Linked DNA regions of Arabidopsis thaliana. The protein of the gene in region 1 interacts with the protein of each later gene in a pairwise test. Each region holds a gene or a part of one and is shown in the gene's direction. Other genes may lie near its edges.

What was found.
Region 2: the proteins of HEC2 (region 1) and ALC interact in a two-hybrid assay, tested with the Arabidopsis thaliana proteins (one large-scale study listed by BioGRID).

Annotation. Positions count from the first base shown.
Region 1 is NC_003074.8:18,656,437-18,660,424, reverse strand, and holds HEC2 (basic helix-loop-helix (bHLH) DNA-binding superfamily protein), read left to right. Parts: upstream 1-2,047; 5' UTR 2,048-2,306; coding exon 2,307-3,002; 3' UTR 3,003-3,470; downstream 3,471-3,988.
Region 2 is NC_003076.8:26,784,402-26,788,218, reverse strand, and holds ALC (basic helix-loop-helix (bHLH) DNA-binding superfamily protein), read left to right. Parts: upstream 1-1,787; 5' UTR 1,788-1,880; coding exon 1,881-2,117; exon of another isoform or gene 2,118-2,229; coding exon 2,230-2,301; exon of another isoform or gene 2,302-2,391; coding exon 2,392-2,457; coding exon of another isoform or gene 2,458-2,535; coding exon 2,536-2,601; exon of another isoform or gene 2,602-2,695; coding exon 2,696-2,887; 3' UTR 2,888-3,113; downstream 3,114-3,817. Other genes in the region: AT5G67120 (RING/U-box superfamily protein), read left to right, coding at 129-389; ICU2 (DNA-directed DNA polymerase), read right to left, coding at 3,115-3,255, 3,343-3,417, 3,488-3,607, 3,716-3,769. UniProt on the Arabidopsis thaliana protein: Required for the dehiscence of fruit, especially for the separation of the valve cells from the replum. Promotes the differentiation of a strip of labile nonlignified cells sandwiched between layers of lignified cells.

The DNA of each region.
Region 1 (3,988 bases):
GAGTTCTTATTCTTTATTAGTACATTTTTAAATTTGCTGTCGATTTTAACGGCATTTGTTCAATCAATAACGTAGTGAATGACATGGGCGACTTTGATTAAACAGTTCAATAATTAAAGAAAAAAAATCGAAAAAGGAAGTTCTCGAGAGACAAAAAAAAAAATTGTACGAACAAGACTTGGAATCTTGGTTAAGAAATTTAGATTCGGTGGGAAGGAGGAGTGTTTAATTCTTACAGTGACTTTGTGTAAGTAAAAAGGTGAAAAGGGGAAAATAGCATCTATTTTTGTTACTTACGAAGCTGATTGAAAAAGAGAGAGCAGCGAAACGTCATCGTTTCGTTAGCTTTCTTACATGTTTCAGTGTCAACATAAGAGGGTAAAACCAAGTCCAAAGCAACTTACTGTGTCTGTCTATTTTAGGCTAATTATAGGGTAGAAGACGAACTCATAATAATTTTAATTAACAAGTAAGCAATTACTTTTGTGACGTCAAAAGAGATGATTTCTATGAATGAAAAGAAAAAACCCGATGATTTTGCACAAATGAAGCCAAGCATTGATCTTGATTGAAGATTGTGAGGTTTTTGACGTTTGACGTATGCATTTTTAAGGAAAGAGTCATTTATTATTAATTTGGTTGTTGAAGTGCAATTCCTTTGTTAACTAATGTTATAAGAATTTCTTTCTTTTGTTCTTTATTTGTTTTTTGTCAATAAACAGTACTACTCTATGTTCACGTAAAGTTCTTAAAATAAAGAGAAAAATAATTTAATGAAGATCGCAATAAGTCCTTTCCGATCGGCTTTGATAAGCGTGCCATATACCAACGCTCGACGCCAAGTGAGGTTCGATTATATTGAGTCCATTATATATAAGATAATATTCTTCCATAATATACACTCCCTTAGTATATACATTGCAAAACAAATTCATATAAACTAAATACGTTAACATGATGGTTTGTATTTGTGAAACTCGAGAAATTCACTATATTACTCATTTAAACAAAAACAAAAAAATCATGCAAAAAAATAATAACGTAGTACGTTTTCTTCAAGCATGTTCAAAGAAGTTATAACATCAATCTTATTTACTACTTACTAACGAAGACAGTGCATCTCATTAATATTCTCATGCATAACATATTGGATCCATCCAGGTTAAAAGTTAAAATAAGAAAACTTGAATTCAAGGTAATATTGTTTCGCCGTCGCCTGAACAGATCCCGGCGAAACAGATGGGTTCCCTGGATTCTGACATATTTCATGTGGATGTGGGGTAATTAACAATTATAAACAAAAAAAAACAGTAGTATAAAATTTAGATACCAAAAAAAAAAAACTACACAACTACTCTCTCTTTCAGTCTTTCCCATTACACTCATTCGAACTTATATAAAAGATTTATTTTTATATTTTGAAAACAAATTAAAATTGTAGAAATAGGAAAATTCATGGTTGCTGCCTCAAATGGTGAGAGCGGTTCATGCACCTTCATTTGTCCAGAAGCGCCTTAGTTCACAACTCGTGGGTCCAAAATCCCACCGATTGTGACACGTGAACGGTTGATCCAGACAAAGGATAATATCCTTCATGAAATATGACTCAAAACGAATTTTCCATTCATCAGCTAATTTTAGTGACACCAAGTGACTAGTGATTCCAATCTCTTGCGAGTTGCAATGATTCCAGACAAAAGTATATATAAGTACACCAACTAATTTATGCAAAACTGGTATTGAAAGTTTAAAGTAAATAAATTTATATTTTTTGTCATAAAATAAATAGTATAATTTTATTTATAGTTAAAAAAAATACGTGCAACATAAATATAACTGTCCAATGCATATGGAAGGTTGAAACATCCATGTCAAAGCAATGAACAAATTTTCAACTGCTAGCTAGTGTACGTTAATGTATACATACATATATTTACTAAATACATATACGTGTGTGTTACAAAGTTTTAGGAGTGTGAAAAATAGAAGAAGGAAAACAATCCTAATTGTTATAAATTATATATGTAATAAAAAGGAGTAAAATAATAAGAATGGGTCACAAAGTGCTATATAAATCCATCACTTCCTTTTATATTGCTGAATCTCTGATTGGTAGTAACAGTTTACATTTCGCACATAACTCTCCCTCTGTCTTCCACCATCATCTCTTCTGTGATTCAGACACACAAAGCCCTAAATTTCAAGCTTTGTCAGTCCATCTTCTTCTTCCTCCATACCTTATCTCACCAGCTTCTCCATATCTCTCAAAGAAAAAACAAACCCTATAAATTCCACAAAAAAGGAGGATGGATAACTCCGACATTCTAATGAACATGATGATGCAGCAGATGGAGAAGCTTCCTGAACACTTCTCTAACTCAAACCCTAACCCTAATCCCCATAACATTATGATGCTTTCTGAATCCAACACCCACCCGTTCTTCTTCAACCCCACTCATTCTCATCTCCCATTTGACCAAACCATGCCTCACCACCAACCCGGTTTAAATTTCCGGTACGCCCCCTCCCCGTCATCATCTCTCCCGGAGAAGAGAGGAGGCTGCAGCGACAACGCCAACATGGCGGCGATGAGAGAGATGATCTTTCGAATAGCCGTGATGCAGCCTATACATATTGATCCGGAATCCGTAAAGCCACCAAAGAGAAAGAACGTGAGGATCTCTAAGGATCCACAGAGCGTGGCAGCTCGGCATCGAAGGGAGAGGATAAGCGAGCGGATTCGGATTCTTCAGCGGCTTGTTCCCGGTGGGACTAAGATGGATACGGCGTCGATGCTCGATGAGGCTATCCATTACGTTAAGTTTCTCAAGAAGCAAGTGCAGTCGCTGGAGGAACATGCGGTGGTTAACGGCGGAGGAATGACGGCGGTGGCCGGAGGAGCACTTGCGGGTACTGTTGGTGGAGGATATGGAGGAAAAGGGTGTGGCATTATGCGGTCTGATCATCACCAGATGCTTGGAAATGCACAGATTCTTAGATGATGATGATGTTGATTTTTAAATATATATCATATGTTTATTAATATGACGGGAAAAAATATTATCGAGGGAGTTGAATTTAGTATCATGAAACTATGAGAGCATTTTTTTTAAATGTTTTTATCTTTCCGGGTTTCGATAATGTTTGGGATGGTTAATTAACAATTTAAAAGTCAGACAACTTGGTTGTAAAGACTAAAGAATAAGCATAGTTTATCAATTTATCATTACTAAATGAAATAGTCTCTTGTCACTGATCAATGCAACATGTTTTAGCTTTCAGACATCTAGTTAAGGTTTTGTGAGTTGAATAATAGTATTGTTTTCTGTCTTGTTTCCAATGTAAGCGTCAAAAGTTTATAATTTATGGCATTTCGTACCTGTGGTACGTTCTTGATGCATAGGTGTATGATTTTGTGAGCCAACTTTATAGATAACAGGAAGTTTTGGAGACAAATCGATAACACGAACATCTGTGGTGTTGTTTAGCATTTTAACACTTATTGAAAAATAAAAATATATATCATACTTTTAGAGTGTAAGATTCTGCAAAATTTCAATGCATGTAATAATTAATATATAAATACAAAAGTCTAAGCCTCTTATTAAATTAAACGAAAACAGACTCTTATGAAATAAAACAAAAATTGTTTAGAAAATAAATTACCATATATATTGATTTTAATATTGGTGAGTTATATATGTAAAATTATATGTTTTCTATTGTTCTTCTTTTTAGTTAACAAACTAGAAAGGCAGATTGTATTACTACTACTATCTTGCTGTATAAATAACTTTTTCTCTTTTGAATGAGTGTATATCAATCTATCTCGTACTTAAATGTTTTTTTTTTGCTTTCTTTTTTTTGCTTCTTCATAAATTTCTCGGAACTTGAATCAACTACATTCATTACAGAAGATGGAGAAACCCAGCTGACATCCCAACTTTAAAAAATAATTTATATCACAAACCAAGGCTACATATTATTG
Region 2 (3,817 bases), on another chromosome or scaffold:
ATGTAGAAGAGATTAGGACTCTCTTTAATAAAAATTATATGTACCATTTTGGTTTCTTGATTCTAGAGTTGTATAAGCTGCAGAGTTTAGATATCGATAATTTTATGAATGAATCTTTTTTTTTCTAGGAATTATTGAGCATCACTGACGAAACAGGAGATGAACGCACTGGTTTAAGCGAGGAAGTGATTGATGAGAATCTAATAAGAAGGAAATATGAAAAGCGTAGCGACGATGAAACGAAGAGATGTGTGATCTGTCAGCAGAAATTGAAGGACAATGAAGAAGTTTCGAAACTGGGATGTGGGCATGACTTTCACTTCGGATGCATCAAGAATTGGCTAATGGTCACGAACAAGTGTCCTCTTTGCAACCGAGAAGTCGTTTAAATGTTTTATCAAGTTTGAAAGATTCCGTTTATCTCGTTGGATTTCAGTTTTTTTGTTTCTTTCTTTTGCTATGAACCATAATTACCAATATTTCCCTTTTTATCAAGTTAGAAAGATTCCATTTATTTAGATGGCAAGTTGGATTTTGATTTGATTTCTGATTTTGATTATTATCATCTATATATATATTTTTGCAGCCACTTTGTGAAATAAATTCTGGAGTTGGGATTTATTTACAGCGGCTGTCATTGGCATTTAATAATTGTTTTTGATAATTAGAAAGAAAATCTTCTAATTAAATATTTGACATTTAACAATCTTTCCAAAATCTCTCTACCTTAACTACACGATTAATTACTAAAATAAAACTTCTAAAATATTTAATATCATTTAATTACTACAAAATTATCATTTTTGATATTGCTTTTCTGCATGATTATAATCATCAAACCGTAGAGATATTTGATAACATTTAATTACTACAAAATTACAAAATATTTAGACAATAATTCATAAACATATCATAAATAAGATCACATTCATAAAATAAATGAGTTTTTTTAGAGGACGGGTTGGCGGGACGGGTTTGGCAGGACGTTACTTAATAACAATTGTAAACTATACAATAAAAATATTTTATAGATAGATACAATTTACAAACTTTTATATATATTAATTTAAAAAATAAATTGTTTTCGCGGTATACCGCGGGTTAAAATCTAGTTATTCTTATTTTTGCTATGAACCATAATTATTTTAATTACTATATTATATATATTTCCCTTTGGATGCATTAAAAAAAGGCTAATGATCAAGGACATGTTATCGTCTTTGTATTGACCATTATAATATCTGAATTTTATTTTGTGTTAAATAATCTCTCGAATAAATAATCTTTCGAAATGCATGCAGTTTTATTCACACTTTATCTGTGGACAACAACAACAACAAAAAAGAAGGAAAAAATAGATTTTTGTAATTTGTCAAAAATGGTGAAACTGTTGCGAGACCTTACTTTTCAAGTAATTGTCCATTTTCATGTTTAGTCATAATAATAATTAAATAGTCTATCAATGCTCTATCTTATCAATACTCTTATTTTTTCAACCGTTTCATTTACTGATTTTCATAATTTCATCCCCTCCTCTCAATTTAACTTATCACATTGAAAAAAACAATAAAAATGTATGTTTTTTATTTACTTGGTGGTCCAAAAATGCTTTTTTCCTTTTTTTTATTAGGTAAAAAATATAATATTATTAAATAAAATTGCTACAAAAGGAAACTGTTCACACACAGAGTGATGTGAGACACCAGATTCTGTCTATAGGGATTCGACACGCCACTCGCCTCTTTTAGAACCTCCACGCGCTTCTCTGAAGAACGTGATCTCACGCGTCCTACCTCCCCCGCCTATAAGCTTTACTACGAAAAAGCCACAGTGATAATTTTTACACACAGAGTAGAGCAGAGAGAGAGAGAGAGAGAGAGATGGGTGATTCTGACGTCGGTGATCGTCTTCCCCCTCCATCTTCTTCCGACGAACTCTCGAGCTTTCTCCGACAGATTCTTTCCCGTACTCCTACAGCTCAACCTTCTTCACCACCGAAGAGTACTAATGTTTCCTCCGCTGAGACCTTCTTCCCTTCCGTTTCCGGCGGAGCTGTTTCTTCCGTCGGTTATGGAGTCTCTGAAACTGGCCAAGACAAATATGCTTTCGAACACAAGGTATAAACTTAACTATTCTTAGCTGCAGAGATGCTTCACTTGGCTTTCCTTGTAAAAGAAAACAAAAACCAAAATTAGTCTCTTTTCTTTTTGGAATGGCTAAACACTAAAGAGAAGTGGAGCTAAACAGAGAAATTCGTTGAAGAGAAACATTGATGCTCAATTCCACAACTTGTCTGAAAAGGTTTTCTCTTTTATCTTCCTTTTAAGATTCTTAATTTAGAAAGAAGAAGAACCTTGAGATTGTAGTTGATTAGAATCTGAGTGTTAGCAGAAGAGGAGGAGCAAGATCAACGAGAAAATGAAAGCTTTGCAGAAACTCATTCCCAATTCCAACAAGGTTAATCAATCTTTGTTCGAATCAGAGATAGTGAGAAACATTGTTCTGATTGATCCGTTATCTTTTGTTTGTTTATAGACTGATAAAGCCTCAATGCTTGATGAAGCTATAGAATATCTGAAGCAGCTTCAACTTCAAGTCCAGGTTTTTTTCCTACTTACTATGATTATATACGTTCAAAGTCTGATTTGTAAATTACATCACTCAGATCATTAACTTGATTTACTGCATGATGCAGACTTTAGCCGTTATGAATGGTTTAGGCTTAAACCCTATGCGATTACCACAGGTTCCACCTCCAACTCATACAAGGATCAATGAGACCTTAGAGCAAGACCTGAACCTAGAGACTCTTCTCGCTGCTCCTCACTCGCTGGAACCAGCTAAAACAAGTCAAGGAATGTGCTTTTCCACAGCCACTCTGCTTTGAAGATAACATTCAGACAATGATGATGATCGGAATTCCTCTAGTACCTGCCAGACAGGAGTGAACAATGTTTTGAGTTTTAGCATTGGCCAGATTTCTATGTTCAGTTATAGTTATGCTAATAAGCTTTAGGAGTGAACAAAATCTGAGTAGTTTGATTATAATGATGTCTGAAGCAGATTATATATAAAAGACTAATTTACTTACATATGAGATGATTATTACAACTATCAAATGACTATGTCTGTGAGTTGCATCCATCCATAAGCACACCGGTCTCTACTACTTCGAGTGATTGCTGCTGCTGACTTAACCGCAGGTCTTATCTTCGTCATTGCTTTCTCTACTTGAATTCTCACGCCAACATCCATCTGTTATTTCAAATGGTACCGATAACTTTAGGGATATAGACAAGACAAATTGATATTAATAATATAACAAGGTTGTAAAGTAGAAACCTTTTCTAAAGAGCATTGTGTGTCTAAGATGTGGCAGAAGTATGACAGTTGCTTGTACAAGTCTGCTTCAGTGTACTGTAAAGTCAAGAGTTAGTCTGTGAAGCAATAGAGAGATAGGAGTTATAAGGTTGATGATGGTATATACCTTTCGTAAGAGGGTTCCGTTACAGTTAGGATAGTTTGGGCAAACTGTCCCCCGTTCACGTTCACCGAGTAGACGAAAGTTGGGGGAGCGGGTTGTGTGCTTGCATGACTCGTCTTCACACTGTTGAAGGCAAAATGTACAAGAAAACGTCTTAGCATAAATTAAGAAGGACAAATCACAAATGTTCAGAACTATGAGGAAAAAACAAGGCGAGAAGGTTTTACATACCACCATTATGCCTTTGTAGTACATTGACACAAATCCATCGATCTGTCTTTTTACCTGAAAGGCATGATAATGAGTTAATAACTGAAGCATTTGTCCTGCAGG